Linked DNA regions of Arabidopsis thaliana. The main gene of each other region encodes a partner of the protein of the gene in region 3 in a complex. Each region holds a gene or a part of one and is shown on either strand. Other genes may lie near its edges.

Evidence for each region.
Region 1: SAD1 (region 3) and LSM6A share a complex: the UniProt entries of both Arabidopsis thaliana proteins name them as parts of the heptameric LSM1-LSM7 complex.
Region 2: SAD1 (region 3) and emb1644 share a complex: the UniProt entries of both Arabidopsis thaliana proteins name them as parts of the heptameric LSM1-LSM7 complex.
Region 4: SAD1 (region 3) and LSM2 share a complex: the UniProt entries of both Arabidopsis thaliana proteins name them as parts of the heptameric LSM1-LSM7 complex.

What each region holds. Positions count from the first base shown.
Region 1 is NC_003074.8:22,094,789-22,102,244, reverse strand, and holds LSM6A (Small nuclear ribonucleoprotein family protein), read right to left. Parts: upstream 5,777-7,456; 5' UTR 5,649-5,776; exon of another isoform or gene 5,430-5,648; 5' UTR 5,405-5,429; coding exon 5,290-5,404; intron 4,825-5,289; coding exon 4,711-4,824; intron 4,626-4,710; coding exon 4,579-4,625; 3' UTR 4,279-4,578; downstream 1-4,278. Other genes in the region: LETM1 (LETM1-like protein), read left to right, coding at 486-1,066, 1,154-1,466, 1,561-1,707, 1,807-1,895, 1,992-2,084, 2,171-2,297, 2,412-2,476, 2,563-2,737 and 6 more; AT3G59800 (stress response protein), read left to right, coding at 6,071-6,157, 6,561-6,662, 7,093-7,228, 7,320-7,366. UniProt on the Arabidopsis thaliana protein: Component of LSM protein complexes, which are involved in RNA processing. Component of the cytoplasmic LSM1-LSM7 complex which is involved in mRNA degradation by promoting decapping and leading to accurate 5'-3' mRNA decay.
Region 2 is NC_003076.8:9,811,906-9,820,110, reverse strand, and holds emb1644 (Small nuclear ribonucleoprotein family protein), read right to left. Parts: upstream 4,612-8,205; 5' UTR 4,366-4,611; intron 4,245-4,365; 5' UTR 4,208-4,244; coding exon 4,205-4,207; intron 4,107-4,204; coding exon 4,065-4,106; intron 3,933-4,064; coding exon 3,834-3,932; intron 3,729-3,833; coding exon 3,651-3,728; intron 3,582-3,650; exon of another isoform or gene 3,444-3,581; intron 3,224-3,443; coding exon 3,187-3,223; intron 3,056-3,186; coding exon 2,948-3,055; intron 2,830-2,947; coding exon 2,807-2,829; 3' UTR 2,493-2,806; downstream 1-2,492. Other genes in the region: AT5G27710 (T-box protein), read right to left, coding at 5,093-5,175, 5,318-5,410, 5,556-5,651, 5,769-5,839, 6,230-6,372, 6,447-6,524, 6,599-7,042. UniProt on the Arabidopsis thaliana protein: Component of LSM protein complexes, which are involved in RNA processing. Component of the cytoplasmic LSM1-LSM7 complex which is involved in mRNA degradation by promoting decapping and leading to accurate 5'-3' mRNA decay.
Region 3 is NC_003076.8:19,810,515-19,817,640, forward strand, and holds SAD1 (Small nuclear ribonucleoprotein family protein), read left to right. Parts: upstream 1-2,831; 5' UTR 2,832-2,892; coding exon 2,893-2,926; intron 2,927-3,042; coding exon 3,043-3,166; intron 3,167-3,592; coding exon 3,593-3,665; intron 3,666-3,812; coding exon 3,813-3,848; 3' UTR 3,849-4,040; downstream 4,041-7,126. Other genes in the region: AT5G48860 (uncharacterized protein), read right to left, coding at 1,137-1,397, 2,085-2,351; KAT5 (peroxisomal 3-keto-acyl-CoA thiolase 2), read right to left, coding at 4,062-4,153, 4,238-4,321, 4,404-4,512, 4,596-4,719, 4,787-4,883, 4,964-5,096, 5,175-5,252, 5,321-5,428 and 6 more. UniProt on the Arabidopsis thaliana protein: Component of LSM protein complexes, which are involved in RNA processing. Component of the cytoplasmic LSM1-LSM7 complex which is involved in mRNA degradation by promoting decapping and leading to accurate 5'-3' mRNA decay.
Region 4 is NC_003070.9:815,250-822,899, forward strand, and holds LSM2 (Small nuclear ribonucleoprotein family protein), read right to left. Parts: upstream 4,315-7,650; 5' UTR 4,049-4,314; coding exon 4,046-4,048; intron 3,830-4,045; coding exon 3,671-3,829; intron 3,032-3,670; coding exon 2,912-3,031; 3' UTR 2,685-2,911; downstream 1-2,684. Other genes in the region: DBE1 (debranching enzyme 1), read left to right, coding at 1-1,374; AT1G03320 (uncharacterized protein), read left to right, coding at 1,778-1,847, 1,926-2,518; AT1G03340 (uncharacterized protein), read left to right, coding at 4,463-4,534, 4,648-4,828, 4,910-5,252, 5,346-5,417, 5,489-5,978; AT1G03350 (BSD domain-containing protein), read right to left, coding at 7,585-7,650. UniProt on the Arabidopsis thaliana protein: Component of LSM protein complexes, which are involved in RNA processing. Component of the cytoplasmic LSM1-LSM7 complex which is involved in mRNA degradation by promoting decapping and leading to accurate 5'-3' mRNA decay.

The DNA.
Region 1 (7,456 bases), on a different chromosome or scaffold from region 3:
ATCTTTATTTATTCTGTCCTAAAAAGTGATACAAAAAAATAAGTAAAGAAAAATCTAAAACCCTTTCTCACGATTTATTTGCCGCATCCCTAAAACCTCTCAAATTTCTCCGGCGTGATTCACTTTCTCCGGTAAACAGCGTTCGTCATTTTCAGATTCCTCCGTCTACTGTAAGTTATACTTCGTTATTTTCTTCAATATCTTCTTCGAATTCCTCATATTTCTTAAAATCAAGGCTTTGCATTTCGATTGCTTGCGTCGCTTCATTTTTCAACTCTATTCGAGATTTCGAGAATTGTCGTCATTTGAGAGTTTTCTAGGGTAAATATTGTGATTTTTCTCATACCGATTTCGATTTATCGTCTGAGTTTTGTTTCGGTTCGTAGATTTTGATAGCGATTTTTCCTCTTTCAAATCTATCAGGAGTGTTCTCTTCTGGGAGATGTTCAGGTGATTCATCTTTGCACAACAAGGGATTTGACAAAATGGCGTCAAGAGCGATCGTTAGGAGAAAGAATATCATTTCCGATTACTTGAATGTCTATGCTCGCTCTATTCAGAGCTTTCAGTACATTGGAAACTCCTCTCAGACGGTTCATTCACATGCTTACCACTCTGGTATTAACCGTCCTCCCGTGGAAACTAAACCTGTGACTGAACACAAGTCCTTTACAAGAAGAGATGGTCTTCTATTGCTTTCTAGAAATGGATATTTCAATCGTAGCTTTCATGGTTTTCACTCCTCGGGATTTGGTTATGGAAGTTCAGAAGTTGGTCCTTCTCTGGGGATGAGATACATGAGCCTATCCATTCGTAATGCTACTACAGTTGCAGCTAAGAAACCGGAAGAAGAGGATAAAAAGGTTGATGAGCTTGCTAAGAACAGGAAAGAAGCATCTCCTGAGGAATGTGATCAAGCTGTTGAAAGTCTGAGCAGTGTTAAAGCAAAGGCGAAAGCTAAACGTCTTCAAGAATCCAAAAAGGTTGCTCGATCGATAGTACAGAGGGCATGGGCAATTGTTCTTAAGATAGGACCTGCTATAAAAGCTGTTGCCTCCATGAACAGGTTTGGCTTTATCCTCACATTTTGCGTTCTTAATCGCCAGGCTTTATGCATGGATTTTTATGTGTACTGATTTTCTGTTTTCTACAGGGCGGATTGGGCAAAAAAGCTCACTCACTGGAAACATGAGTTTGTATCAACATTGAAACATTATTGGCTGGGGACCAAATTACTCTGGGCAGACACTAGAATCAGTTCAAGATTGCTGCTCAAGTTGGCTGGTGGAAAAAGTCTCTCCAGAAGAGAAAGGCAACAGCTAACTCGAACGACAGCTGATATCTTTAGATTAGTGCCATTTGCAGTGTTCATCCTTGTGCCGTTTATGGAGTTTTTGCTCCCAGTTTTCTTGAAGCTCTTCCCTAATATGTTACCATCAACTTTCCAGGACAAGATGAAAGAAGAGGTATGTTTCAACAGAGTGTAGGCTTTACTCATTCGTTTACTACCTTCTTGCCTTCTTGGTCTCTTTCCGATGTTGCTCTTTTGTTAATGCACAGGAAGCTTTGAAAAGGAAATTACTTGCAAGGATAGAATATGCTAAGTTTCTTCAGGAAACCGCCAGAGAGATGGCTAAGGAAGTTAAACATTCAAGAACTGGAGAAGTAAAGCAAACCGCTGAAGACCTGGATGAGTTTCTAGACAAGGTAAACAGTCATAATTTTGTGTTGGCTCAAATACTTCCTCTTCTTTCGGTTTTTGGATTTGAATTTCATTCTCCTTGTTCTTAAAATCATGCCTTGCAGGTTCGAAGAGGTCAAATAGTCCATAATGATGAACTTTTGGGCTTTGCAAAGCTTTTCAACGATGAGCTTACTTTGGATAACATTAGCAGGTTAGTCGTTTCTTTTTTGTTTGATCTCAGAGATGTCTTGTGCTCTTAGAGGTTCATGTTCCGACAGTAATATACCTCTTTGTTTTTCAAATATAGGCCTCGCTTGGTTAGCATGTGCAAATATATGGGTATTAGCCCATATGGAACAGATGCTTATCTGCGGTATATGCTCAGAAAAAGACTGAGGAGGTAAGATTCTTCCATATCTCGTTGTTATTAGAATTGTTAGTTTTTACCTTAATTTGATGTTTAATTTCTACTTCTTTTCACTGCAGCATTAAGGAAGATGATAAACTGATTAGAGCTGAGGGTGTGGATTCCCTTTCAGAAGCTGAGTTACGCGAAGATTGCAGGGAACGGGGAATGCTGGGACTGGTTTCAGTTGAAGAGATGAGGCAACAGGTTTCTCCTCTTTACTCCTATGATTCTTGATTCTTTGTTATTTCTTTATTAAACTCCATCAGGAGAAGATAACTCTACAGCTATTAATGTTTTAGTATTGAAACAATTTTGTAGCTTCGCGATTGGATGGATTTGTCACTTAATCATTCTGTCCCCTCTTCGTTATTGATCCTCTCTAGGTTGGTTCCAGTACTCTTTGCTGTCATTTTTTTGTTCTTCGATCAGTTTTATTGCAAAGAAATTTCTAAGAGCAATTTATATTCAGGGCATTCACGGTTGCTGGAAGAGTTAAAGCAGAGGATGCTGTCCGAGCTACTCTTTCTTCTCTACCTGACGAGGTTGTGGATACTGTTGGTATTACTTCTCTGCCATCTGAAGACCCTGTTTCTGAGCGAAGACGGAAATTAGAGTACCTTGAGATGCAAGAAGAACTGATCAAGGTCTTGATACACCACTTGACTGTATTGGATTATGCTTGCTTGAGGAAGTTAGAGAAACCGAATTTTGGTTGCTCCAGATTTTACATTTTGTATTTATTATATTTGCAGGAAGAAGAAGAGAAAGAAGAAGAAGAGCTTACAAGGATTAAGGATGTTAAAGGTGGTGACGAGGATAAGGCACTGCAAGAGATGACCATACCAACAGCCAGCGAAGCACAAGAACAGGCCAGAGCTAGAGTTCTTGAACAACAAGATGATCTTTGCAAACTTAGCCGCGCCTTGGGCGTTTTGGCTTCCGCTTCTGTAAGAAAAATGAGTCTATGGTTATCAACAATGGGTATGCAGAGCAGTTTATTGGATATTTATTTGATACTCTGTTTGCTTTTGATATAAACAGTCGGTGTGTAGAGAGCGCGAAGAATTCCTGAGATTGGTCAAGAAAGAGGTACGCTGTCCACCAATGCTTGATCAGCACTTTGTGTCGTAGATTGAAAGACTTTGTTTTTCTGTTTCTCCAGGTGGAGTTCTATAACACAATGGTCGAGAGAGAAGATGTAGATGGTGAAAAAGCTGCAATGAAGGCATACAAAGCAGCTAGAGTAGATATTGACCAAGCTGATGAAGTTGCTGAAGCAGACGAGGTTTCCTCTGCACTAATGGAGAAGGTAAGAAGATTTTAAATCGGTTTTTAAGACTATTAAAGTCCCATGAGATTTGTTTAAGAGGCTTACTCTTCGGTCATACTTTTTAAGGTTGATGGTCTGATACAAAACCTAGAGAAGGAAATTGATGATGTGGATATCAAAATTGGCAAAGGCTGGCAGCTTCTTGACAGGTATATAGACTCCATTTTTCTGTTTGAGTGTTCTGTTTCCGAGACTTAGAATCTAAAGTGATCACATCTGAATGAACACAGAGATCGAGATGGAAAAGTCACACCTGATGAAGTTGCGGCTGCTGCAATGTACCTGAAAGACACACTCGCTAACGACGGCCTTCAACAACTAATCAGTAGTCTCTCCAAAGATAAAGGTAAAGAACAGAGCGATCCTCTCCTTCTTGAGCTCTTATCTCCCTGAAGTTGATCTTTTTTATAAATCTGTTATTCAACAGAGGGAAGAATTATGGTGGAAGACATTGTAAGGTTGGGGAGATTGGGAAGCAAGCCAGAAGAAAATGCAACGGAAGAAGAATCAAGCTGAAGGAAATAATACTATGATTTTAAGACACACATAGACTTTTTAATACTAGTGAAGAGAGTTTTATTGAGAGAAGCTCTACTTCATGTTTTGCTGCTTAGACATAAGCAGGCTACTTACATATACAAGCGGCTAAGAATACGAGACCTTTTGCTAGTAATGTGAAAAGAGGTTGAAGATTAAAAATAACATTACGCCAAGAATGATATCTTGAGCGTTTTATTTCAATGGAAACTCCTGATTCAAATGTGTCGATGGCTATGAATATGATAATCTGATGATTGACTGGTTATACTAGTTTGACATGTGTGTTTCCAGTGATCCCTAAATGACATAATTCGATTACTAAACTTTAATGATCTTCCTCGTTTCGATCTGTTGGTCACCCAAACTCAATTTTGTTTGCTTGTATGATTGTATCAAGCCATAAATTAATAATTTTTCTTCTTTATCTGGGGTCACATGGAAGAGTATCATATTACTAAGAAAAAAGTGATGTCTGTATCCCAAAAATCTACTGAAGAACATAGGATGACAATCTTGGTACATGTCTACTACTCTTTTAATATGAGGTAGAAGAAGACAACAAAAATGGCAGCCATAACATGACCACTGTTGTTGTTGTTGATGATCATGATGGGCCTAGGCTCCGTCTGCTACAGTCATGTTTACTGTACTGATGTAAAGAACTGCATCCAAAGAAACCACACTTAAAAAGAAAGATATACAAAGAAGAAGATTGAGAGAAGGATGAGTGTGAGAGATTTTAGTTACCGTTGTTTCCACGGATAAAGGCGTCACCATATTTGTTCTTGAGCTGCCCGTTTACATACTCCTCCGTCTGCTCCATTGCTATGTTCATATATCCATCAAGACAAGTAAGAGTGCCTGTGAAAAGAGTAATAAAAACTTGATCAAGAACTCAACATTAAGCTTGAACAGAACATAGACAAAACTGACTCGGGCACGAAAGGAAAGAAGTCAACAAGAATGATATAAGTAGCCTTGATAATGAGAGAAACTGACTTAAATATTCAAATATCTCAGTCAACTATTGTAACCTTATTGCAGGCAGAAAGGAACATGTTCTTAAGAAAACCATTGAACAATGTTCACAAGGAAACCTTAGAAAATGTAAGAAAAGCTTCACATATTGACTTTAAAAGAATCATTTAAAAGCTGAAGACATAACATGATAATTAAGTTACTTAAGTGGGCTTAATACAAGCAACTCTTTAATTCCCTTAACATAGACAAAAGAACTAGTCCTAAGTCAAAGCTTCTAACCTAAAGTGCAGCAGAGATAGAGAACTTGCAAAACACATAAGAACATCTAACGAGAGAGAGAGGCACCTCGATAATCAACACCAGAATTGAGCTTGACAACAACGGGTCTCCCACGGATGGATTTGAGGAAATCTGCAGGTGTCTTTGTCGTTCCAGAAACTTTCTCTTCAACTCCACTCATCTTTTAAGCTCGATCCTTTACGTAACTGCAGAAACAATTGAGATCTGAAATCAGTTTGGTCGCTCTTCGAACTACAAAAACTCAAAAGGTAAAAACCATTCAGAGTCAATCTCTCGAATCACAAAAAGACTCCGAAACCTAAAAACCTAAACCTTCAACCCAATAGAAGCGAATTCGATTGAAAATGTAAAGAGAAATCGAAACTTTAACAAGGATTAAAGGAACTGAAAGAAGAACTCCTTACCTGAGACCTACTCGAGTACGAGACACAGAGAGAAAGAGAGAGCGAAGAAATAACGAATCGGTCCTAAGGGCTTTTATTATTTATTTCCAAAACTATATACTATATGATTATTGTTATTTCGATTCGATCGAGTTTTCATATTAAAACTAATAATAATTGAACATTAGTCCTTATAGATTTTATTATTTTACTTTGGAGGGTGAAATTAAATCTCCAGTGCGTTTCGGTTCGACCTCACAGTTTCTTCTGTTCTCGTCTCTCTCTCGTTTGCTTTCTCTACAGATCCCTAAATCCTCTCCCTTTGGACCGTTAATCCCCCAAACCCTAGATTTTACAAACAATTCCTCTCAATCTCTCTAAATTCTCTTTCTCCTGCAAGGAATTTGCGGACTGTTTCTTGTGGGGTAAATCTTCTATTAGCTATGGGGAAGAATCAAGCTTACAAGGCTATGCAGAGATCTAGGGTTGGTTCCAGCTCCGCCCAGCCGGATGAGGTTGAAGACGGAATGGTTTGTACCTTTTCATACTCTCATCTTCTTCATTGCAAATTGATTCTGTTTTTTTTTACTTCTCCAAACAAAATTCCAATTTGGTTGATTTACTTATGGTTTTGTTGATCTTTTGTGTTGTTGGGTTATCGAGCTGCATTTAGAATTAAGCCTACAAGAGATCCTTTATGAGTCCCAATTTTGGGGGAAGAACTTGTATCTAATACCTGCTAGGTCTTGTAGACGATATCAAGTCCATGTTTAAATGTGATTTCGTAAAAGTGTAGCATCAGAGTTTGTGTTACAGTGATTCAAGAGTCTTTTTATTGTTGTTGTAAGCTGTGAACACAAAGAAGCATTTGGATTAGTCAAACTTTGATATTTTGCATTGGTACCGGAACATTTCTGATGAGGATTGTCTCAGGTGGATGGTTCATTTCATACACCAGAGTGGCATGCGGCTCGTTTGGCTAGCCTCAAGACTACACATACTATTACCTGGGAAGAGTATAAGCAGAAGCAAAAGGTAATCTTTTTGCCTTTTTAATACTTAAGTTCTTCTGTATGTTGTATGGAACGGTGTTCCTTGTTATAATGCCATAGAAGATAATCAATTGACCATTGATGATTTAGTGTTCATAAGATTGCTATTATTGTCGTCAATTTAGAAGCTTTATTCCAACATATCATTTTCTTTTCCTCTGCTGTTTATCATCTTCAGCCACAGATACGCAGTCTTTGTGTGTTTATATAAAAATGAGTGTGTCTTCCTTCTACATTACATCTATCCCTATCTCGCGGTTTTCAAGTAACTCTAGTCATGCTCATTTTTTAAACATTTTTATTATCTGCAATATCAGTTTTTTACTACTACTTGCAGCAGTCTCTCTGTATTGTGAGTATGGAACATTAGGAAATGTTTAACATTATATCTTTCTTTCGTGTAACATGTGTAGGAAGAAGAATTGAAAAAGGGAGAACTTGAAGCAGATACCGATAAACTGATGCGTGAGTATAGAGCTCAGCTGGATGCAGAAAGGTCGTTGAAACTCTCCAAAGGAAGGAACTATTCTAGTGATAAGTCACGAAAAGGTAAACATAATCCACTTAACTTAACATGACATCTAAACCTTCTTTCTGAGGACGTTATTAACTGGTCGCCAATGGTTCAATGACCTCGCAGATAAGAAAGACAGAGATTCAAAGAAGAAGAAAAGCAAAAAGAGAAAGGTGCCTTCTAAAAGTTTAGCTTATATCAGATAGTGTGAGGTTTTCTAGCTTATGCTAACATGAACCATGATCGGTTGTGTTATGAATTTG
Region 2 (8,205 bases), about 10 Mb from region 3:
AAAAGCCTACAACGATTATGCTGAAATAAAAGAAAGGTCCAACAACAGATCCACCAGATTAATATCAACAGCCAAAAGATCTTCAACATTTGACTCTATCCAAAGACACGTGTTGACATGAGATTATAACTACAGCACATGTAAATGAGTCATCGGAAGTGTACGGACATCAGCCTCCACCGTCGACGAGCACCAAATCCGGTGGAGGAAAACATCGCCGAATAAAACGTACGAATAATCTTTGTTTACCACCAGAATAGATATGGATGGAGCTCCCAAAGAAATAGACGGCTTAAGAGAATCCTAATAAGCATCGGATTATCCTTCAATCTTTCAAACCCAGATGTAATCGTTTGAACGATTTCTTGCAAATCGAGGTTTCTAAAACCAAAAGCCAGAGACATTAATTTTAAATAGCTAGCACTTAAAACTAATTACCAACTCAGATTTTTAGAAATTATTGAAAGAAAACATGGAAAAGAAGTAAAGCAATCGATAATAATCCGATTGACTGGAAAAAAGATAAAAACCAGTCAACACCACTTATGGAAGCTGGATTTGCTCGACATAAAACCGGTTATCTCCACTATTGAAGCTGAAAGATACCGGGCAAGAGCCCGAGTCACTCGGGACGGCTTCACCGGAAATTTTCCACTCGGCAAAGATTATATTTTTTTTCTCTGAAAGTTCGATTGAGAGAAGAGAGAGAAAGATTTAAAAAAAAATGGTTTGTGTTACTGTTGTACGCGATGGAGAGAGAGAGATGATGAAGGAAGCAGATGAAAGATAAAATAAATTCTTAACGTAATTGTTTAATAAATATTGGGTTTTTACACAAGATGACCAAAGAAGACCCGTTAATTAACTGACATATTTTCGACATTGTTTATATGGTTTTTGTACACAAAATATGACCTATAAGCCCCTACACAGTCTATCCAGTCTAAAGTAATATATAAGATACACAGTAACGTGTGTCAGAGACGAGAGACATAATATCTCTCATATAGATTCGATTCAACTTAACTCTGTTTTTCTTTTTTCCGATATTCAGTTCCAGTCTCCGTTCAAAGCTCTGTGGTTCTGGTCGATAAATCCAAATAAGTTTCGCGAATTACCGGCAGTTTCTCTCAATCGTTTAAAGATCTAGTTCTAAATCGATTAGGGTGTGGGTTTGCGGTAGAGGAAAAAAATGGTTCTGAAATGATGGGGTGAGAAGAATACGGCGGAGATGTGGTGGTTGAAGATTACGCAATGGTAGTTTTTGTTCAGATTCAAATTGGTTAACAATTAAATTACCTAGTTAACTAAAACTTTATCTAGAGGTAGTGATAATAATAATGTTATTGGATGAAATTCATATTTTGTACGTTATAGTAACTCGTTAATTTTTTATTATGATATAATAAATGAGTTAAGATGGTAAATATCTATATATATCACATCAATTATAACTTATCGCGATACAAAATGACTTACCATGACATAATTATAAACTTATTGATATAAATATTTGTTATCATGTTAACCTAATAAATATTACCGAGATATTTGTTATCATGTTATCCTGATAATACGTTATCTGCTAACTATTCTGATGCATGAATTTTTTTATAGAGATTTTGAGCATTAAATGCTTTGATTTTATGTCAGAGATTGTGTCGGGATAGGGTTATTATCGTCATTATTTCGTGTGTCAGAAGAGAGAGATTTGATTATGAGATTTTCGTTCGCAAATCTTTAATTATATCATCTTCTATGATTTTATTTTTTGTTTACCCATAAATATTTAAGTTTACATTGAGAAAAATAAAATAAATGACCAAAATACTCATATTCTCATGCAAATTCCATTACTACTAGTTTTTTCTAGGGATTTACTCAGATAATAATTAGGTTGTTATTACTAGATAGCCAAATTCTGAGATTAAATAAAGATATTAATCATAAGTTTAGTTTTTGTTAGAAAAGAACTATGGATTCACACGTTAGACGGTGTATATTGACGAAAATATCTTTATCAATTTCTAATATTACAATAAGACTTCCGATAGATTTGAGAAGAGGAAAATTCAATTGTAAAAATACAGTGAAGAAAAATATGTAATTTTCATGATATTTGAAGAAATACATATGACTCCTTACATAACGTGAAATATTGACAGATATGTATAATTATTACATTAAAACATAGTTATTTTATGAAATACTAATGATATATTGGATAAAAGACATGTAATTTGTTTATATAACATGAAATCTTGACAAAAATATGAATCTGTTCCAAAAAAAAAATATGAGATTTTGTTAGATAGCTTGACAAAAATTTACAAGTCAATGTAAAGACTTAAGAGCATGTTTTGTCTTTGAAATACATGCGTTTTTTAAATCATATCTAATCTTATATGTCATGCCGACGAGTGATGGAGAAAATCCGGTGAAAGAGGAAAAAAAGAATAGATAGGAAAAAAAGAAAAATAATAAAAGGGTAAGATGGACCAAAGATCTTATAAAAACCCTGTCGTTGGTTAATTGTATAAATTCTCTAACAATTATATAAATTCAAGACCTGAAAGATTCATTTTTAAGCGCAAATGAAAACAATTGGAATTTCACATATACCACAAAAAGGCAAAAGACAAATTTCATTTTTCGAAAAGATCACAAGGAGAATCGAAAAACACACTCCCTATCCCTTACATACTTAATAGAAAACCAACAACAGACCAACTTCTTATGTAACTTTTGGTTTTCTCCACAATGGGAAGTTAGCAGATTTGGCAGCGAGTCTTTAAAACTTGTTGCATCAACCACGGCCGCGACCTGCTCCTGTTTTTCATAACATATTAGAGTTTTAGCTTAAATCCCATTGTGGCAAGACACAGATATTTGAAGTATTCTAGTAAAATCAGAGTTTTGTGACAAGCTTTGTTTGTGTATTTTTTACCTCTGTTGCCACCCATCTTCCCCATTGAAGTTCCTCTGCCTCTGCCTCTGGCTCCTCCATCATCCACACCACGTCCTCTTCCACGTCCAACACCTGGTGGTTTTCTATCTGCACATATTCAACCATCGTTATTAACACCTGAAGTATTCTCAATGTCTACTCTGGCAAAATATTAACACCTCAGAAAACTCGAAGCATATCTCAGTAAAGGTACAATATAGACATGAGTAATACTATACCTGTGCGTGTCTTCTCCTCCTGTACTTTATCAATCACCTGAAGAGAGAAGAAATCAATTTAAGTCAGTTAACTCAATCTAGGTTGCAGCAGTAAGAACATAAATAGAAACAGCATATGACTGTCCTTCTAGATGAAGATATCGTTTATGGTATGTGAATATAATTTGATTTTAGAGGGAATGAAATAAAGTAGAAACAATAGAGAAAAATCGCATCAGAAACACAACACAGCAAAGTCCATAAAAGTGGGTCAACATTCTGGTCAGCAATAACCATTCCCTGTGATATCGTCTAAGACGCACTACAACAAGAGGCACACCATCTGCTGAACAAGGTTCCACAGAAAAATGCCTCTTGGAGCACATATCTGATTTGGCTAAGCATCATCATTCCAGAGAGAGGGGAACAAAGAAAAAACTAGATCAAGCAAGAGATATATACACACACACACAAAAAAAAATTACCTCATCCGGAACTCGAAGGTACTTGATTGTGTTACCACGGATATAACATTCCGGCATCCTCCAAAATCTATCTCCGTCCTAGAGTAATCAAGCAGCAAAATATATGAGTGTCAGCTACACAAAATTTCATCACGAAGTCTAAACAAAGTATATTTGTATCAACATATGAAAACATAAGATAACCTTTGATGTACATATGACTTCACGCAGATGGATGTTCATCCAAGTATCACAATTCACCAAATGCCCATTGTATGTCTCTCCATTCTTAAGCTCCACGAGCTACCAAAACAAAACAAGATTCAAAATTACAGTAAAAGGAAGTTCCTTTAGATCCCTAATGCAATGCTCACTTAAACTCAGCTTCACTTCATATATAACAAAATTGTAATCAAGGGTCGAAATTTTACTCACCATAGGATGCCCTTGAGCAGTTTTAAGCAGCGATAGAGGAAGCTATAAAATCAAAACAACAGCTTTCAGTTAATAAAAATTGAAACTTTAACGCAAACAAGAAAGAAGGAAAAAAACCCTAAGTTTGTCTAGTAACTTACCATCTTCTTAAATCAGAAGATTTAGAGATCCGTTAAGAACCTGATGACATCAGAGAAGTATAACATTAAACCCTTTATAAGATGCGGAAGAAGCAATAGCGAAAACGGAACAAAAACCCTAATTCAGCTACTAAAAAAAATCTGAGAGAAAAGGGAGAAACCTTGTAATATACTCCGAAGATCGGCAAGAAGGTGAACGATTCAAATATGAAAGAGATCGAAGAATAGAGAGGCGTCGAAACTTCGAAATCTGTTTTTTGCTTTTTTCTGCTTCTCGGGTTTTGACAGTGAGAGGGATGGATTTCTAATGAATCGGTGGTCTTTTAGTTTTAGGTCAATGGGAACTTTTTTGAGTTTTGCACTCGAGTCCCTTAACTTTATAATATTATCTGTTTTAGTATATATTGTTAAACATATCAATCTAGCCAACTAATCCGATGTCGTCCAGCGGTTAGGATATCTGGCTTTCACCCAGGAGACCCGGGTTCGATTCCCGGCATCGGAGCTTTTTGTTTTAATTTTTCGTATACTTTGTCTACACCAAAGTGTATTTGTAGCCGTTGGCAATGGTTACCTGGTGGAAAATAACTAATCATTAATATGTTATTGATGCTCTCGAAATTAATTAATTTACATCACTAAGGCGAACTGTGTGAATCAAACAAAGCCAAGTGATATGTCAAATCTAATCCTAAACTTTTACAATTAAGCTTAAAGCCTCAGCAATGTGATTGTTAAAGCTATTTTGTAACCGACAATACTTCAGACCTCTCTAAATTATCAACCAACTCGAACGTTATTGAACCTCGACCAGCTCCAGTAACTAAATCTTAATCAAAGTTTCAATTACACACAACTGTGTAATTGTGAATCTGTAACTGGTTTGTTTCAGCACATGAAAAGCTGATAGTCAGGTTCGTGAGCTCCGACATTCAAGTAATTGACATCAACTGCGGTTGTTCCCAAATCATCTGGTGGAGAAGGATAAGACATAAAGTTTCAATAGAGCATAAATCTTTAAGAGACTTTGAGTGTATGTATGTGTAATCAAATGTGATCTACAATGAAGCAAATTGATGAGTGAGATGAGAGAAGGTATAGAGTTGTTCAAACCTTCGTATATTGTTCTTACAAACTTAACATAGTCAGGGATGAGATCTCGGTATATGATTCCATCCGGATGCGCATCAAGAACCACAAGTACACCTACAGATCAATCAAAGGAAAGGAAGATGTCAAACGTAACACTACAATTGTTTTCCACGATACTAATGAAAGACAAGATCATCTTGAAACTATGAAGTGTTTAGATCTTTTCTATTACTCTCAGAGATGAAAACAGATATTATACCTGGAGCAACCCAATCTGGAGAAGAGTTGCTAGGTAATGGTGCAAGCCAAAGGATATTCCTCAAGTTCATTGAATCATTGTATTTCACGTCAGATCCTAACAAAAAGGAGATACAATCATAATACTGAAGATTTAAGGGATTTCTGTGACCATTTCTATGTTTCAAGAGATTGCAAGAAAACTCACAGTCACACGGACAAGAACCCATATTACCTCTCTGGCAATATCCCATGTTGTAAGGAAACACTTTCTTGTCATAGGCTGGATACTCTTTAGCATGAAACCTACCATCACCAATCAGATACTAGTCAACAACAGTACTCAAAACCTAGCTCAACCATGTAACTTTCTATAAATATTCCCCAAAACTCATTACTTACGTTCAACCTTTCTAAAAACACTGCAACAATTGTGTTAAGAATCAGAAACCATTCTTCCTTTATTGATAACTGTTGGTTACATTCAAGAACACAAGAACAAACCCTAGAGAGTTCTCTTCACTCTCAAAGCCTAAATGCTCCCAATTAACCAAATGGTCTAGACCCCCTTATATCTACTATTCTAGTGCCTATCAAAGCGTCTCGATTCTTACACAACGAAGTCAGTAACAGAACATGATCATCATTACTATTTCAAGAGTCCTAGTGTGTGTTGAGGAGACAAAGGAGACTTACAATATTCCAAGGCGTCCAGATTCTGAGGCAAGGAATAAATGGCCATGGAACAAATCATATCTACTCAATGAAACATTCAATCCAACACTAGGTCCCCTAGATTCAATTAGATGAAACAAGAACTCGAAATATGAGTTCACTTCCTGTTCATTAACATCATCAATCAGATCACTACACCATAAGATCAAACAGTTCACAAAATAGCTTCTTTTTTTACCTCTGCTATAAAATGACGACCATAAGGAGTTCTAGTAAGTTGACATTTATCTTTTCTTGATCGTTCAACATCAGGAACCTATAAAACCAAATTTTAACCAATTCAATCTAACGAACAATAAACCAAATCAAACCATTAAATTGAAGACGAACCGGGATCATTTTCGGATTGAGAGTTCGCTGAATTGAACCGGGATCACCACCGGAGTCAACAGCGAGACGAGCAAGCTCTAGAACCGATTCCGGTGGCCACCAGATTAGAGAATTCTCCTCTTCAAACTTGCTCCGTCTCTCAACGGCGTCAATTTTTCCGGAACAGAGTCCAGTACGAGGCGAGCATCGTCCAAATTCGGGTTTAGGTTTATCCGATTTGAATGGGACGAGGAATTTAAGACACGATTTGATCTCTCGAGAGACGATTGGGTTGAGGCACGACGCGGCGGAGGGAGGTCCGAGAACGGAGAGTAGATCGTCGCCGGTGGCTTTCGGAAATGACGACGGAGAATGAGAAGCGGAGTGGAGTTTGAAGGATGAAGCTGCTGCGATGGAGAAGGAGATGAAAATGGTGAAACGAAGAGGAACGTACGAATTCACCATTGTCGTGTCCTTCCTCTGAATTTTTGGTGAATCCACATTATCTTTGTAGAAATTGGAGAATGGAGAAGAGAGACTGTAGAGTCACGTAAACTCCATTGGAGAATTATTAGAAGTGTTTAATTAACGAAGCCATTAATTAGCGACAACGACAAACATTGTGGCACACAATTTGTGGGCAACCTTAAAACCCATTAAGAAGCCCGTTAAGAAATAGTTGGGCCACTTCCATCAAACGACGATCTTGATCATCCATCAATTTTAACATCCCACATCACTTATACATTGCCATTTCACAAATCACAATATTCAATTTTGTTTCTATGGACTTTATGGTTTATGTGGAAAGCATGGAATGATAAAGTGTTTAAGAGACTCTACGAGGAACCCACTAATATTATAAATTATGCTCAAAGTTAACAATTATAAAGGGAGGAGACACAATTAGAGGCTCTTGAGGAAACAAAATGACTCCACAACCTCATAACTTATGTTCTTGAACATTGGATGTCAGTTTGATGGATCATGGAAGGCGTCAGACCACACGACTGGGTTTGGATGGATTTGTTTGCAAGGCGATACATTTTTTATTCTATAGGGTCCAAGTGTCATCGGAGGAGTGTAAGTAATGTGTATTGCATATATTTCCAAAGGAGATTACAAGCATATATATACATGAATCAGTAGAAAACTCTAGGTTAAGTCTCTTATAGAAAGAGAGATAGAAAAGGAAATAAGATATACAGGGAATGATGATATGATCATATCATATCCTTGACACGCCCCCTCAAGATGGAGGGACTATGGTCACACCAATCTTGTTTCTTAGCTCGAGAAACCGACTGCGTGGTAATGGCTTTGTAAGTGCATATGCAAGCTGATCTTTCGTGTTGACATGAGAGACGCGGAGAAGACCGTTTTGAACTTGACCCCGGATGAAGTGATAGTCGATGGCAATATGTTTCATTCGAGATTGAAACACAAGATTAGCACAAAGAAACGTAGATCTGACATTGTCGCAATAGATGACTGGTGACACTGGTAGTATGATTCCAAATTCAGTGAGTAGGCTACAAATCCAACGAATTTCTGATGATGTGTTTGCAACCGCTCTGTATTCGGCTTCTGTGGATGATCTTGCAACACCATTTTGTTTCTTTGCAGAC
Region 3 (7,126 bases):
AGTCGTTTTGTGGCATATACAATAATAAGCCAAAACACAATGAATCTGGACAATTTGCGAGGCATTATTCACTAGTTTACAAGACTTGCCGCTCACTGATAAACATTTTGGACCACAAAGCAATAAGGCAAATAGTGTTTTCGGGGAATACAAAAATATACAATAATTCTACGGACTTGAGACTTAGCTATAAGTCAATATTGAATATTTTATAGAAATCCGAGACTAGTGGAGACATCGCATGAATTAAGACGGTTTATCAGCATTATTCAAGATTGATTTGGTTTGCATCTAACTAACATGATTAAAAATAAGAACCATTGATTAATTCATTCCTTAGAGTATGGGTTCATGCTTGCATATAAATCACTCGTTCGATTTATTTCGTATTACATCTATTTATTCTGTTTAGGTGCAAAGCCGGTCTTAATAGAATATTGTCTTGAGAACATACATATATAAACTGTCATTGTTTCTATCTCCATAAATTTTGAAATCGATCCTAACTAGTTGAATAATCCCTCTATACCAAGAAGGCAAGAACCGACATTTGAATTAATTTAACCAATTATCTTCCACAATTACTTTCTTTTTGTTGTCCATTGTTCTTCATTTACTTTTGGGTTGAATTTATGAACTCAACAAGTCAACAACATTTTATGAATCATATCAATTTTGGGTACACAATCGTGAAGATAATAACGGAGAAAGCTTGCTAAAGACTTAAAAGTGGTGTTTGTGAAGCAGTCTATATGGCCCACTATTAAACATATGTGATATCATGCATGAGTTTTGGTTACTCATTCAAAAGTATGCTGAACAATTCTTTTTTTGTTTTCAAAAATTACGGGTATGTTAGATTATTTTGAGTTAACTAAAAAGCATAGAAGATTAAAAAAATGTTACATTTTTTATATAAAATATTACAACTACATCTAGTGCCGGCTTAGCACATGTGCTTAAGGTGCTAGGACATATGGTCTAGGGTCCAAAAAAAAAAAAACATGATATGATTACATAATAGCACTGGATCTACAAAATGTTTGAGCCGGTCCTGACTACATCACATAATTTCATGCTAATGTTTTTGTGTGTTCTTACGCCTAACGTCTTCTCTACACAAAACAAAAACATGATCATGATTTAGATTTGGCTGAAAACAGAGTTCTTGATTTGAATTTGACTGGAAAAATGTTTCTTGATTTGGTTGAAACATGTTTTCTTATTCGCCTTACTCTCGGATACCTCGTAGCTGAGAAGATATGGACATTGTTCTTTATAGAAATAATGTAAAGCACGACTTCCATACCTTCTTGCAAGGATCTTTGATAAGTTCCTATCCTCATTAACATGTGTTGCACCTTGTTTTTCGATCCTCTAAGCTTCCAAGTATATGACTACAACAACGAGATTGAATATCTAATGATACAAATGGTATCTTAACTATATACTTTCTTTTCAATTCTTCTGGTAATGTGTATTTAACAATTAATTTTGCTAATCTTGGATGTAGCTTTGCACATGGATTGCTACAGATTAGAGCTGTCACAGCGGGCTGTCCATGTCCATTAGCCCAGTCCAATAATGTCCATTTCGATATTGGACAAATAGTGTTCATGTCCACTAAGGCACATGTCCATTAACGCCCGTGCCCATTAATGTCCATGTCCAAATGGGTTGTCCAATAGGCATAACAAAACCAAATTTTAACACAATAGTATTTGCTTCAGCAAGATGCTTGAATGTTTCTTTGTAAATAATCGCTCTAGAGAGCATTAGATGTGTAGAATTCCATTTTGTGCTTACTACCAATTCTTTTTTCTGTTTAAGTAACTCATATTAGTGAGCTAAGCTTTTGATATTTGCAGTTTCATGAATACACGGTGTCAAAGGACCAAGCTTCATAGTTCATACTATGCATAATGCAGACAATGAACACTATATCAAACAATAGTAACAGAAATCGAAAGAGACCCATGTCAAAATCACTCTCAATAAGCAAAAAACAGTAACAAAAAATCATTTCGAATTGAGTAATCAAAAACCCAGATCGAATTGAGTAAAAATGACGAGAATTTGCTTACTTGAACTGGATTAGGAATCTCAGGAGGATCCATGATGTGATGGAGTTGAGATGTTGAAGGAACTCGCCGGAGAAATCGCCGGAAAGAAGAAATCGCCAAATAAGCGTCGGGGAAATGTTTTTTCCCCAAATTTATTTTTGCCCGAACACTTAAACCTAATATTTTTTGACCATTGGGCCGCCCATGTCCATCACGTCCAGTCCGCTGATGCCCATGTCCGTTAACGCCCATGTCCATTAATGCCTGCTTCATAATGGGCTTGTCCATGCCCGGTCCATTAGGCGTTGGACACGGGCCACTCGTCCATTTTGATAACTCTACTACAGATCAATCGTTCAAAGAAATAATAAAATCTCAGTAGACCTATGTTTGGAAGAAACAAGAAAATTTCATAGATCCGTATAATGGATCCATGATTCAAGATTAGCATAATTAAATTCGAAAGTAAATTGACCTTATAACTAAAGTAAAGTGAATTAGGTGGTTACAGTTTTTTCCAATGACATTGTAACATAATATCTTACAAAAGCCAATATTACTATTTGAAAGGTACTTCCGTACTAGTAATGTAGGGATTTGAGACGTGATTATTTATCCTTAATATTCTAATTAGATTGAAGGTTTATATATTAAGTTTTCCATAGTTAAAAGTCAATCTTGAAACAAAAAGATAGTTTGAGGGTTCTCTTGTAAATTTCCTAAAAGTAAAACATTAATACCCTAAAAATCGAAAAATCAGAAAAAGCTTCGGAGCAAGAAAAATCAGAGAAAATTCAAAAACCCTTCACTTGCCTCACTGTTCTTCGTCATGGCGAACAATCCTTCACAGCTTCTTCCTTCAGGTATGCAATTTTTTCTTCACATCTCTCACTTTCCACCTTCTTATATGTAAGAAAATCGAACTAGATCTGCGATTTTTTGGTTTTCAATTTTTGAGCGATTTGGTTTGTTTGTGCAGAGCTAATCGATAGGTGTATAGGGTCTAAGATTTGGGTGATAATGAAAGGAGATAAGGAGCTCGTTGGTATTCTCAAAGGATTCGATGTTTATGTCAACATGGTTCTTGAAGATGTCACCGAATAGTAAGTCTGATTTTAGGGTTTCGATTATTGCTTCATATCTTGTTTAATTGGAATGTTGCTTGATCTATTACACTTTAGGAGGTGAATCATAGACATTGAACCATGGATGTGATTATGCAGAACTTAGCCTTTTGGATTTTGTTTTTGGGTAATTGATCTCAATACTGATTTGTGAATGTCCATCACAGTTCATTCATTTGCTGATTAATGACATTTATTGTGTATGCATAGAGTCTATTTCAGCGGGGTCATATGTGGTTTCGGTGACTTGAGTTGTTTGTGGTTGTGTGAGGATTAGTTAATTGATGCTTAAACCCGTGTTGCTTTGGAGTTAGGATCTCATAGATTCAAGTTTTGATTGTAACAAATTCTTGATTGAATTGTAACTAGAGTGTGTTACTAATTTATCTAAGCATCGTTGTGTAGTGAGATTACGGCAGAAGGAAGACGGGTCACAAAGCTTGATCAGATTCTACTCAATGGCAACAACATCGCCATTGTAAGTAAAAAAACACTTGTGGTTACTCATAGCCATACGTTGTATAAACTTCCTTGTGATGAATTTTCAAGTATCTTGATATAAACAGTTGGTCATTTGAATAGTCAAATTGCTAAGAAACTGGTGTTGAAAATGTTTGTGATGCAGCTGGTGCCAGGTGGGTCTCCCGAAGATGGAGAATGAGATTTGCGAGATTTGATTGGTGTTTTCAGACTTGTGTGAGGAAGGATGTAACTTTTGGTTTTAGATTTAACACTTTGTTCAGAGAAAAGTAGTTGATTTTAAACTCAGAATGACAAAAGTTTTCATTGTTCAGCAATGTGAAAGAGCTAAAGCATCATATTTATTAGACTCAATGCATCATTACTTCTACTTATTCAAGCTCTCTTCGATGTTCTAATGACTATCCCCGTTAGCCACACGAGCGTTGGACAAGTTATCAACAGAGTCTCCCCTCTCAAAAACAGCTGCAGCTCCCATTCCAGTGCCTGTGACGTTCGCATTTTACATATACCATTAACATAGGTAATCATTGATCCAATTCAATCTGAAAAAAAATCTTATATATATACCTATGCACATTGAGATTACTCCAAAGCGGCAATCTTTTCCTCTCCGCTTCATCTCGTGCAACAATGTCGCAACACATCGAGCTCCTGAACATATAGAAAAGAACTCTATTAGCCTGTAACAAATGTTGCATTTTATTTAGTTACGACAAGCTTGGTAAGTAGTAACCTGTAGCACCCAGGGGATGGCCAATAGCAATGGCTCCTCCATTAACATTGACCTTTTCCATATCCAGCTCTAACTTCTTGCAAGAGTACACATACTGAGATGCAAATGCCTGTTTAACAATGCAACAATAAAGATTTATATGTATGTATTATTCCGAAACAGGAAAAAAACCAATGTGAAATATTTTGTTACCTCATTGATCTCGAATAGATCAATATCGCTGACGTTGAGCCCTGCGAGCTTAGTTGCAGCGGGAATGGCAACAGCTGGACCAATACCCATTACAGATGGTTCCACACCAGTAACAGCAAAACTCCTGCATTGTTCCGGAATCAGATTTGCTCGGTTTCTTGAACTGGCAAAATGTTGTATATTCATTTTACCTGAATACTCCAAGAATGGGAAGTCCCTTCTTCATAGCCAAACTTCTCTTCATTAGCAGTACTGCTCCAGCACCATCACTGATCTGACTAGCATTGCCTACACAAAACACATATACTTAAATGCTTCAATCTATGATCTCACTTATGCCAGTGATAGTTAAGAGAGTTGTTTCTAACCAGCTGTGGTGGAACCGTTCTGTTTAAAGACAGTCTTCAGCTTTGCCAAATCTGCCATGTTTGAGTTTGGACGTACACCGTCATCAACAGATACGACGATTGCCTTCTCTGCTTTAGTCTCAGGGTCCACAATCTGTCAAGAACAATATCATTTACTGAGAAAGCTCTACCAAAAGGGCTTTAAAGGAAGTTTGGGAGGTTCTTGTTTTACCTTAGTAGCAACAGGAATGATTTCATCCTTGAGTTTACCAGACGCGATTGCAGCTGCAGCGCGTTTGTGAGACTCCACCTGATTATTACTGAATCAGTACTTATATGAACTAGAGAGGAAAAAAGTGAAGAGAATAACTAACTAACCGCAGCCATATCTTGCTCTTCTCTTGTGACACCGAACCTTTCTGCAACGTTTTCAGAAGTAATTCCCATTGGAAGCAAACAATCACGGGCTTTTGGGAAATCCTGTGCCTATTCCCATGTAGAGTTTACAAGATCATCACAAAACTCTTCTTGTTGAGTAAATTTATACACTCATTGTGATAGCTTACTCTTGGATTAGAGCCATGAAAGCCGCCTCCAGGAATATGATCAGTTGACATTGATTCCACTCCAGCACCAATACCTATGCAATTCACAAAGTTGAGAGAATCAATCCCATGGCCTATACAAGCAGCTAGAGACTACAAAAAACTGATGCAGCAGCATCTTACCAATGTCGTAATAACCAGCTCTAATGGAAGCAGCAACATCAGCAACTGCTTGTAGTCCTGATGAGCATTGTCTATTGACAGTTCTAACTGGCACGGAGTCTAGCTCGTAAAAGAGAAGGATGAAGAAACATATCAACAACTTGTGAGATATTAAGTTTATCTTGATTCTTGAATGAGATTTAGTACCAGGAAAACCAGCAAAATAAGCTGCAACTCTACACTCCATTGCTCTCTGAGAACCAGGCGCTATCACGGTACCAACAACGATATCACCAACTTCACTTGGATCCAAAGATGTTCTTTCCACTACAGCCTAATCAGAACAAACCATGAAACATAAGAAATCATTGATACTACTACTCCATGCATGCACAAGGTTTAATTGATGACTTACCTTAAGAACAGAAGCAAGAAGATCATCAGGAAGAGTGTCTTTGAAACCTCCACGTCTCGCTTTGCAAATGGCGGTACGATATGCCCTGAAGAAGAAGAAGAATCAAGAAACAAAGAAAACTAAAGAAAGTGAAAGTGAAGCAAACTCAATGAGTATACTTACGCTACAATCACAATGTCATCTCCAAAAGCAGCCATTGGGGAAACTTCAGAAACACAATTCACAGGCTAAAATTAACAAAAACACAAGTGAGTCACATAATAAAACAGAGTTAAAGATCATCAGCTTCCACAAACAATTTCAATGTCTAATTAAGACTCACGGATTAAGACAACTAAACTTACAGACAGAAGAGAAGGTTCATGTTTAAGAGAAGAATTAGAAGAAGAAACTGGATTGAGATGACGAAGCAATATCTTTTGTCTTTCCATAGCTCTCTCCATGATTCTCTCTGTTGCAAACACTTGTGTTGCAGCTGAATTCTAATGGTGATTGAAAGACAAAAACTTTCCGGGGAAACTGAAATGGGTTTGGTTGATTTTTCTGGAAAGGGGAAGACGTTAAGTACAATGAGCTTCAGGGTCCTCATTTTTATCGTGGGAGAGATTTTTGATCGATCGTTCTCAGTTCTCACAAGTCTGGTCTGATTGGCCTCGTTGCCAAAACCTTGTCTTGTCGTATTTGTATAAGTTAACGTCGTTACGAAAATATCGCATTTTGACATGTTTTACGCCACATACAAACTCACGCCGTTAAAAATGTGACCGGAAATTAATCGTCGGCAACTATAACTAAACCGGGCCACGTGGGAAGAATCTAACTTTTAAGCAATAAATGTTTCTTCTCATTTTGGGTATTAGTGATTTTGATAATTTGAGTAATTTACAAATTTAGAAGAATTTGAGATAATTTATAAAATTTTAGTGAATAATTTGGATATCCAGATAATATACATGATTTGTATTCTTTACCCACAAGAATTCATATCGGATATAGATTTAAGTTGTTTTGTTTAGTAAGAAAGAGTTAAGTATCCTTCAATTATTTTGTAAAATTCTCGTC
Region 4 (7,650 bases), on a different chromosome or scaffold from region 3:
TTTCATTTCTTTTCACCAATGGACATATATGGACCTTCCAATAGCCTTGAATCCGCAGTTAACTCAATGAAAGTGATGGTGAAGAAATTGCACAGTGAGGGAATAGAGGTACTTTTGGAAGTAGTTTTTACACATACTGCTGATTCTGGAGCTCTTCGTGGAATTGATGACAGTTCCTATTACTACAAGGGAAGAGCCAATGATCTAGATTCTAAAAGTTACTTGAACTGTAACTATCCTGTTGTTCAGCAGTTGGTATTGGAGAGCTTGCGTTATTGGGTAACCGAGTTTCATGTAGATGGATTTTGTTTTATAAATGCTTCATCTCTCTTGAGAGGCGTTCACGGTGAACAGCTCTCTCGTCCTCCTTTGGTTGAAGCAATAGCTTTTGATCCACTTCTTGCGGAGACCAAACTAATAGCTGATTGCTGGGATCCACTTGAAATGATGCCAAAAGAAGTACGGTTCCCACATTGGAAGCGATGGGCAGAACTCAACACAAGATATTGTCGAAATGTAAGAAATTTTTTAAGGGGAAGAGGCGTTCTTAGTGATCTGGCTACAAGAATTTGTGGAAGTGGTGACGTATTTACCGATGGAAGAGGTCCGGCCTTCTCCTTCAACTACATTTCAAGAAACTCAGGACTCTCGCTTGTTGACATAGTCAGTTTCAGTGGCCCTGAGCTAGCTTCAGAGCTAAGTTGGAATTGTGGGGAAGAAGGAGCAACGAATAAATCAGCTGTTCTTCAAAGAAGGCTAAAACAAATCCGCAATTTCTTGTTTATACAGTACATATCACTTGGAGTTCCAGTGCTTAATATGGGAGATGAATGTGGAATCTCGACAAGGGGCTCGCCTTTGTTGGAATCACGGAAACCTTTTGATTGGAACTTGCTAGCTTCGGCTTTCGGTACACAGATCACGCAATTTATCTCCTTCATGACTTCAGTAAGAGCAAGAAGAAGTGATGTGTTTCAAAGGAGAGACTTTTTGAAACCTGAAAATATTGTTTGGTATGCAAATGACCAAACAACTCCAAAGTGGGAAGATCCTGCTTCTAAGTTTTTGGCATTGGAGATCAAATCAGAGTCAGAGGAAGAGGAAACTGCGTCATTGGCTGAGCCAAATGAGCCAAAGAGCAATGATCTGTTCATCGGATTCAATGCGAGTGATCATCCTGAGAGTGTAGTCTTACCTTCACTTCCCGATGGAAGCAAATGGAGAAGATTGGTCGACACAGCTCTTCCTTTCCCGGGGTTTTTCTCTGTCGAAGGAGAAACCGTTGTAGCAGAAGAACCGTTGCAGCAACTGGTTGTGTATGAGATGAAGCCGTACAGTTGTACCCTTTTTGAAACCATCAATACTACCGCTTAGAACTCAAGTTATGATCTTTGTATATGTTACTGTTTTGTTACATTTCCAGTAAGAATATATTCAGTTAAATCAATGATTTCCACAATATCTTATATATATATAACATCACTTAAGCCTTTTGCTTGTATCCAAAGCTTGATACTGTATCTCCTCAAATCAGTGATTATTATTCGTTCTGATACGCGTATGCCTTTTATGGATTCAAACGAGTATGTATATGGAAAGATGATTTTCTTCAAGATTGATATAATCTTTATTTATTTTGTATAGATAGGATAAGATATGGATTGCTTAGGGTTTATAATCTTAAGCAAATTCTATAAGTAAAACCCAAAAAAGTTCTTCAAGTTATTCTCTGTAGCTATATTTTTTCTTTGAAAGCAGCAGGAACGTGATCTGAAAAATGAACGATGGTTGCTGCTCAAAGTGTCAGGTTAAAGCAACGAAGAAGAAGAAATCGAAGAAAAACGAAGGTGAGTTGTTTAACCTATTTGAAGATTTCTTACTTTTATCTTCACAAATCTTAAAGTTTTTGCCTTTATGATGCACAGATGAGCCTGATGAAGAGGATGTGAAACAAAAACAGAAAGTTTCAAAGAATGAGAATCCGAAAAAAGATTCCAATGGGGAGAAAGGATCAGATGAGAAGGATAAGAAGAATAAGAACGTCCTCAGATGGCCACAAGACTCAAGTACAAAGAAAGAGAAGGGTGATGGTAAAAACTTGTCAAGCGAGGAAAATGGTGGTAAAAACTTGCCAAGCGAGAAAAATGGTGTGAACCCGCCGCCGCCTTGTTACACCGCTCAACCGATGATGTACCATGGTGGACACAATCCTTTACACCGGTGGCCCATATCCGCAGCCTCGAGAAGCCATTATCCCCCGTTTTCGATGGGGGCAATGCATGGACCATATGGTGGTTGTGGACCTTGTGGTGGTCCAATTGATCCATACCAATCCATGCCTCGACCCAGAATGTTCGATGGTGTTCACATTTCACAATATCCGCCTATGGCTGCAGCATATCCGTATATGGCTGCAGCTGGTCCTTTCCCCTATTGGCAAACCAGACCGTACATGGATGCAAATCCTATGAAGCGTTACACTACCTATGCAGAAAATTACTCCTATTTTTATTCATGAGTCTATGTTTTTCCTCTGTTTGCTTCATCTCAGAAATAAGAAACTAAATTAATGACAAGAGTTAAGGTCCTATTGCTGCTATGCAAACAAGAACTCATATTACTTTATATAAGTTCCTTCTTACTGAGTCTATATGTTTTTCCTCTGCTTGCTTCATCTAAGAAAGGGAAAAACTTAAGTAGTGACAGCCTGACAAGAGTGAAGGTGTTTCTAAGTAGGCTTTAATAAGCTTTTCATTTGAACGAGGAAAAGAAATTAAATTATCCATTGTTAATAAAATGGAACAAGATTCATGGCCATACCATTGGCTCTACATCAGGGAAATATTCATTATAAAGCCATTACGCCGAATGAAAAGTATTCAAGTTTTGGAGATACAAAGATATTTCAGAATCAGCCACCCCTAGCTTCTCTTCTAGCTGCGTCGTGAAGCAAATCAACATCGACTCCATCTTTAGGTAACTGCACGTACCTTACCACAGATCCTCTGATGAAACAGTTTCTCACTGAAAGCTACACAGAACAAACACACAAATCCGTCAGCTAAAAACATCTTCGGGAGGATTCTAGCGAAATTGTACTATTTGACAAGGTTTCTAAAGTGTGACACTGACAAGATAAAGAAATACAGTGCCAAAGATATAACAATATAAACGCCATAAAACCTAAATGCATTGAAATTGGTCATGCAAACATATTGCAAATCTTTTGTAATCCTGAGTAGACTTGACAAATTGCAGTACAAAAGCAGCAATCTCAATCAAATATGTGAACCAGAACCACTAATCACTTCAAATCATCCCTTTGCGTCTGTAAATCTAATCAATATCACGTTAGAGCTTCTCAAGCTTGGTCACAGTAAATGAAAGCAAGGAAAAAGAAAAGAGTGAAGGCTTAAACACATTTGCAAGAGCCAAGGATTAAGCTTTCAATCAGTTCATAAGTGATATTTTACAATACGAGACAAAGAAGTATAGCAAGAAACTAGCGAGTGAGATCAATTCCAGTATAATGTCAAACACTTAAGAGCACTTCAAGCACACACAACAAAGAAAATATTGCCTATGTGAACAAAAAAAAAACAATAGGCTGCTCCAATAAACCCTAAATTCCCAATTCTTAGAGAAATCGCTTAAAAGAAAGAAAATTTACCATGTGAGGGTACTTGTCCTGGTCAACAACCCTAGTGTTCTCGAGCTTGATATTCAGATACTGATCAACTGAGTGAAGAGTTCCTCTTATGGCTAAATCATTCTTCAGCTCAACCGTCACTTCTTGTCCAACCAAATCCTTGAAGTAAGAAAAGAACAACTGCACCAGAGAACAAACACAATCAAAACCCATCACGAGAAACCCTAAATCATCATCGAAAACCATAAACTCGAAATCTCCAAGAACCCTAGAACCATTGGCTAAAAAAGAGTAAACCCATGAATAATTACGAAGAAAGAAGAAACCTTTTCTAGGTCAAACAAAACAACTGCCAACAATCAAGTTCATGAAGATGAAGAAAGCATTCAAATTTACCATTTTTGTTTCCTGCTGATTTCTACCTCTGCTCGCAATTCAACAAAGAAGCTGAAAAAGCTTTGCGGGATTTGAGGACTTTAGAACTTCTCTCTCTCGAGTAAAGAATGTATGTACCCTAATGATCTTTGGGTTAATTTCGAGAATATAAGAAACCAAAGGTATATTTATGTAATTATTGAAAAGATTGGGTATGTTCTTGGTAATTTAAGTAATAAGTGCCTCAAAGGGTAAATATTTAAAAACTCAAAGTGTGTTTTGGTCACCAGCCAAAACTGAATAAAGAAAAGATTTACACAAATCTTATAATATCTGACGCATATATAGGCGAGATTGCTGACGATAAGCTTTTTCGTTTTGTTTCCATGGTTTTGTGACGAAGAAGAGAAAAAAAAATAAGAAGTCAGTTTTTTCTCAATGGCTTCTCATAGCTATTCAACACTTAGGTTTAGTCTCCTTCAAGAGCTAAGAAGCAACGAGATCATCAAGGTCAGTTTTTTACTTTCTCTGTTTTAAAACACTTGGGTTTAGAATCTCTCGTTGAATTCTTGTCCTGGTTCTGTCTTCTCCTTGTTTGGTTCTTATGTCTATGAATGATTCAGACAAGCCGGGCTTATCTGGTGAATCCTGGAGGAAGAAAATATGAGATATTACCGGAGAGCTCCTTTAACCTGAAATCACAACTCTTGGAGCCATTGAAACCTTTTTCTTCTTTTAGTAAGTCTAACCACTTTTTGGAGTTTGATTCAACCATGATGAAGCATAGACTCATGGATGTTCATGGTATGTGACTTTGATCAAATTTCAGTTGAATTCACCAAATTGTAATCCCTTTTTTCGACTGACATGAACTGTGGTTAACAGAAACTGGACCAGACCCTGTGTGTTTAAGCTTGGGGATCACTCAGCAGTATGCAAGAAAAGAGGAGGTGTTAGAGTTCCTTTTGTCTAGATCAGAAGAAGAACTCAAAGAAGAAGGATTCGATTTGTCTCTCCTATCTGAATTGATGGGTCTAGATGCTTTAAGATCAAGTTCTCAGCAACCATATGCAAAGCCGTTATTGGATCTCATGGTGGATGCTAACATTCTGTTCTCAAGTAGCAGAGCTGAATTGAATGATTTGGTCTCTACGGCAGCTGAGTTTCATAGATTAAGGAACTCAACAAGATGGAGAAAGCTCTCACGGCTTGTCCCGCAGTTTCAGCGGTAGTTAATTCTTCACTGCAAGTTTGATTCATACCTATGAGTCTCATCCTTTTGGGTTTAACATTAAGTTTTTGCTCTCCTCTCATTCTGCAGATTCGACAGTGAAGTACCAATAGACACTCTGCAGCTACCCGAGGACGCAGTTACACTAGCTCCTCCAAAGAGGTATCTAATATCATCAACTAGTTTTTGGTACTTTTGCATCTTTAAAAAACGTTTCTTTCGATTTCCAACAGTCCGAAGAAAACCAGGCTCAAGCCTTCACCAAAGAAACAAAATCCGAAGATAAGAGATAAGGAATATGACCTCTACGAACGAAACCGTCTTCATGCGTGTGAGAGCCTTCTCTCTCTGATGATAGGCAATGAACAACATAGAAAAACCACAATGCTATCTCTAAAGAAATCACGTGGAGAACTCTTCGAGCTTTTGACTCAGTGTTCAATTGGCTTTGCTGGCACTGGTATGGCTGTGCTCTTCTTTCTCGTTTGTAATGTTGCTTCCAGGCAGGTACCCTTTTGCGCAAACCAATTCTTCGAGGGTGCAATGAGTTTGAGTTTGGTATTGCTCTCGTGGTCTGTGAGTAGACTCAGGGAAGCCCTTGTTAATTTCAATAGGAAAACAATCAACGAAGAAGAAGTCTCAAATAAAGTGGAAAGAAGAATCAAAGAAGTTTACTTCAGAGCTGCCACAGTTATTGCCATGGTTGCACTTAGGTTTGGTTGAATGTTGGAATGCTGATGATTTGGAGTCTAGTTTCTAACTCCATTCTTTGGCTTGCTTAAAGGTTAATTTGTCAATGTTAGGTTGTAGAATAAAGTGAAGATATCACACTGGGAGAAGCTTTTCTTTTAAAACACTAATCTCTCGTTTATTTGATATAAACTCTCAAAGTAGTAGAAATCTCATGAGAGATGAATCTTTAGATACTAGAGAACAGTTGTGTTTTTTCGTTTGAAGAACTTTTAAATCTGCTATAGCGACTTAGCTCATCACTTTTGATACCACACCGGCTCCAACTGTTCTACCTCCTTCCCTTAGAGCAAATCTTTGACCCGTTAAAATCGCAAAATAGAAACAACTTGGATTACTCAAGAAACAACTTGCTTTCTCGCCTTGAAATGGTGATTGGGGTTTAAGTGAGGGTTAATTACTCACGCGAGGGTTTCTCTTGGATCCATCCAGATCCTTTTCTATCCTTTTCTGTGTTCTTCTTACCAGTAAATTCTCAAAGGACGTCGATTGTGGTTTTACACTAATAGTTTCACATCGATTCGTTGCATTATTAAAATCCAATCATAAAATTTCTATTTATACATGCACACATACGGTACATGTTCAATTGAAACATTTTCCCTAACTAGACATGCCAATAAATAATAAGTTGGTTTGGTCCAAAAAATAAAATAATAAGTAAAATTCTACAAAACAAATGGTACAGTTTTGTTAATAACTAGATATTCATCCGGGTACACAACGTATTTATATTTTTGTTAACAAGTTAAAGATTTTATTTTAGTTAATAGTATTTATAAATGATAAACATATTAAGAAGTACACAACGAGCCTATATTTTTCTCAAAAATTTTTATTTTTTTGTTTTAAAGATGATTTATAGATATATGCTATTGCTTTTTTTTATGTATGATACATCTCGAAATGATTTATATAACTAAATTTCTGAAATTTTAAGTTATTTTTTGTATTAATATTGTAAATTTTGTTTAATTTTAGAATTTTACCATAGTATATCATTCCGTATTAATATTGATCCAAACCGTCTCACCATATATCCTAGTTCTGTGAAATTAAACATCATTTTGTCATTTTCTTATAAAGTTCAAATCTATATAATATTTGAAACTTCAAAAAAGTTTTAAATATATTGTATTATATCGTCCCGTATTAATATATTTTTAAATATATATATTATATAAAACTTCATAAGAGTTTTAAAATTATAAATATTAAAACGTTTTAAGAAGTTTTAATTTTAAAAGTTTTACAATTTGTAATATTTAACTTTTTTGGTTCTTCACAAAGGACAGAAATTGAGATTAATTTTGACACAATTAAAGCTCCGAATTCGCAGGGGTCAGTTGATTGATATACTCAAAATAACTGGAGAGAATGACTATCGCAAGATGAATATATTCAAACTTTCCTCAAACCACCTTCTCAAGTAAAATTTAAAAACATATTTTCAAATCAATGTAAAATAGAAACGTTGAAGAGAAAAACAACTGAAGAATGGGGGCAAAGCGCCAGAAACTTGTAAAAACAAGTAAAAGGATTGGCAAAAGTAAGAAAGCACACCACTTTAAAACTAACATTAAGCTTTGGATGATGATGATTCTTCTTCGTCATCTTCATCAATGTCCCAACTTAAATCTTCATC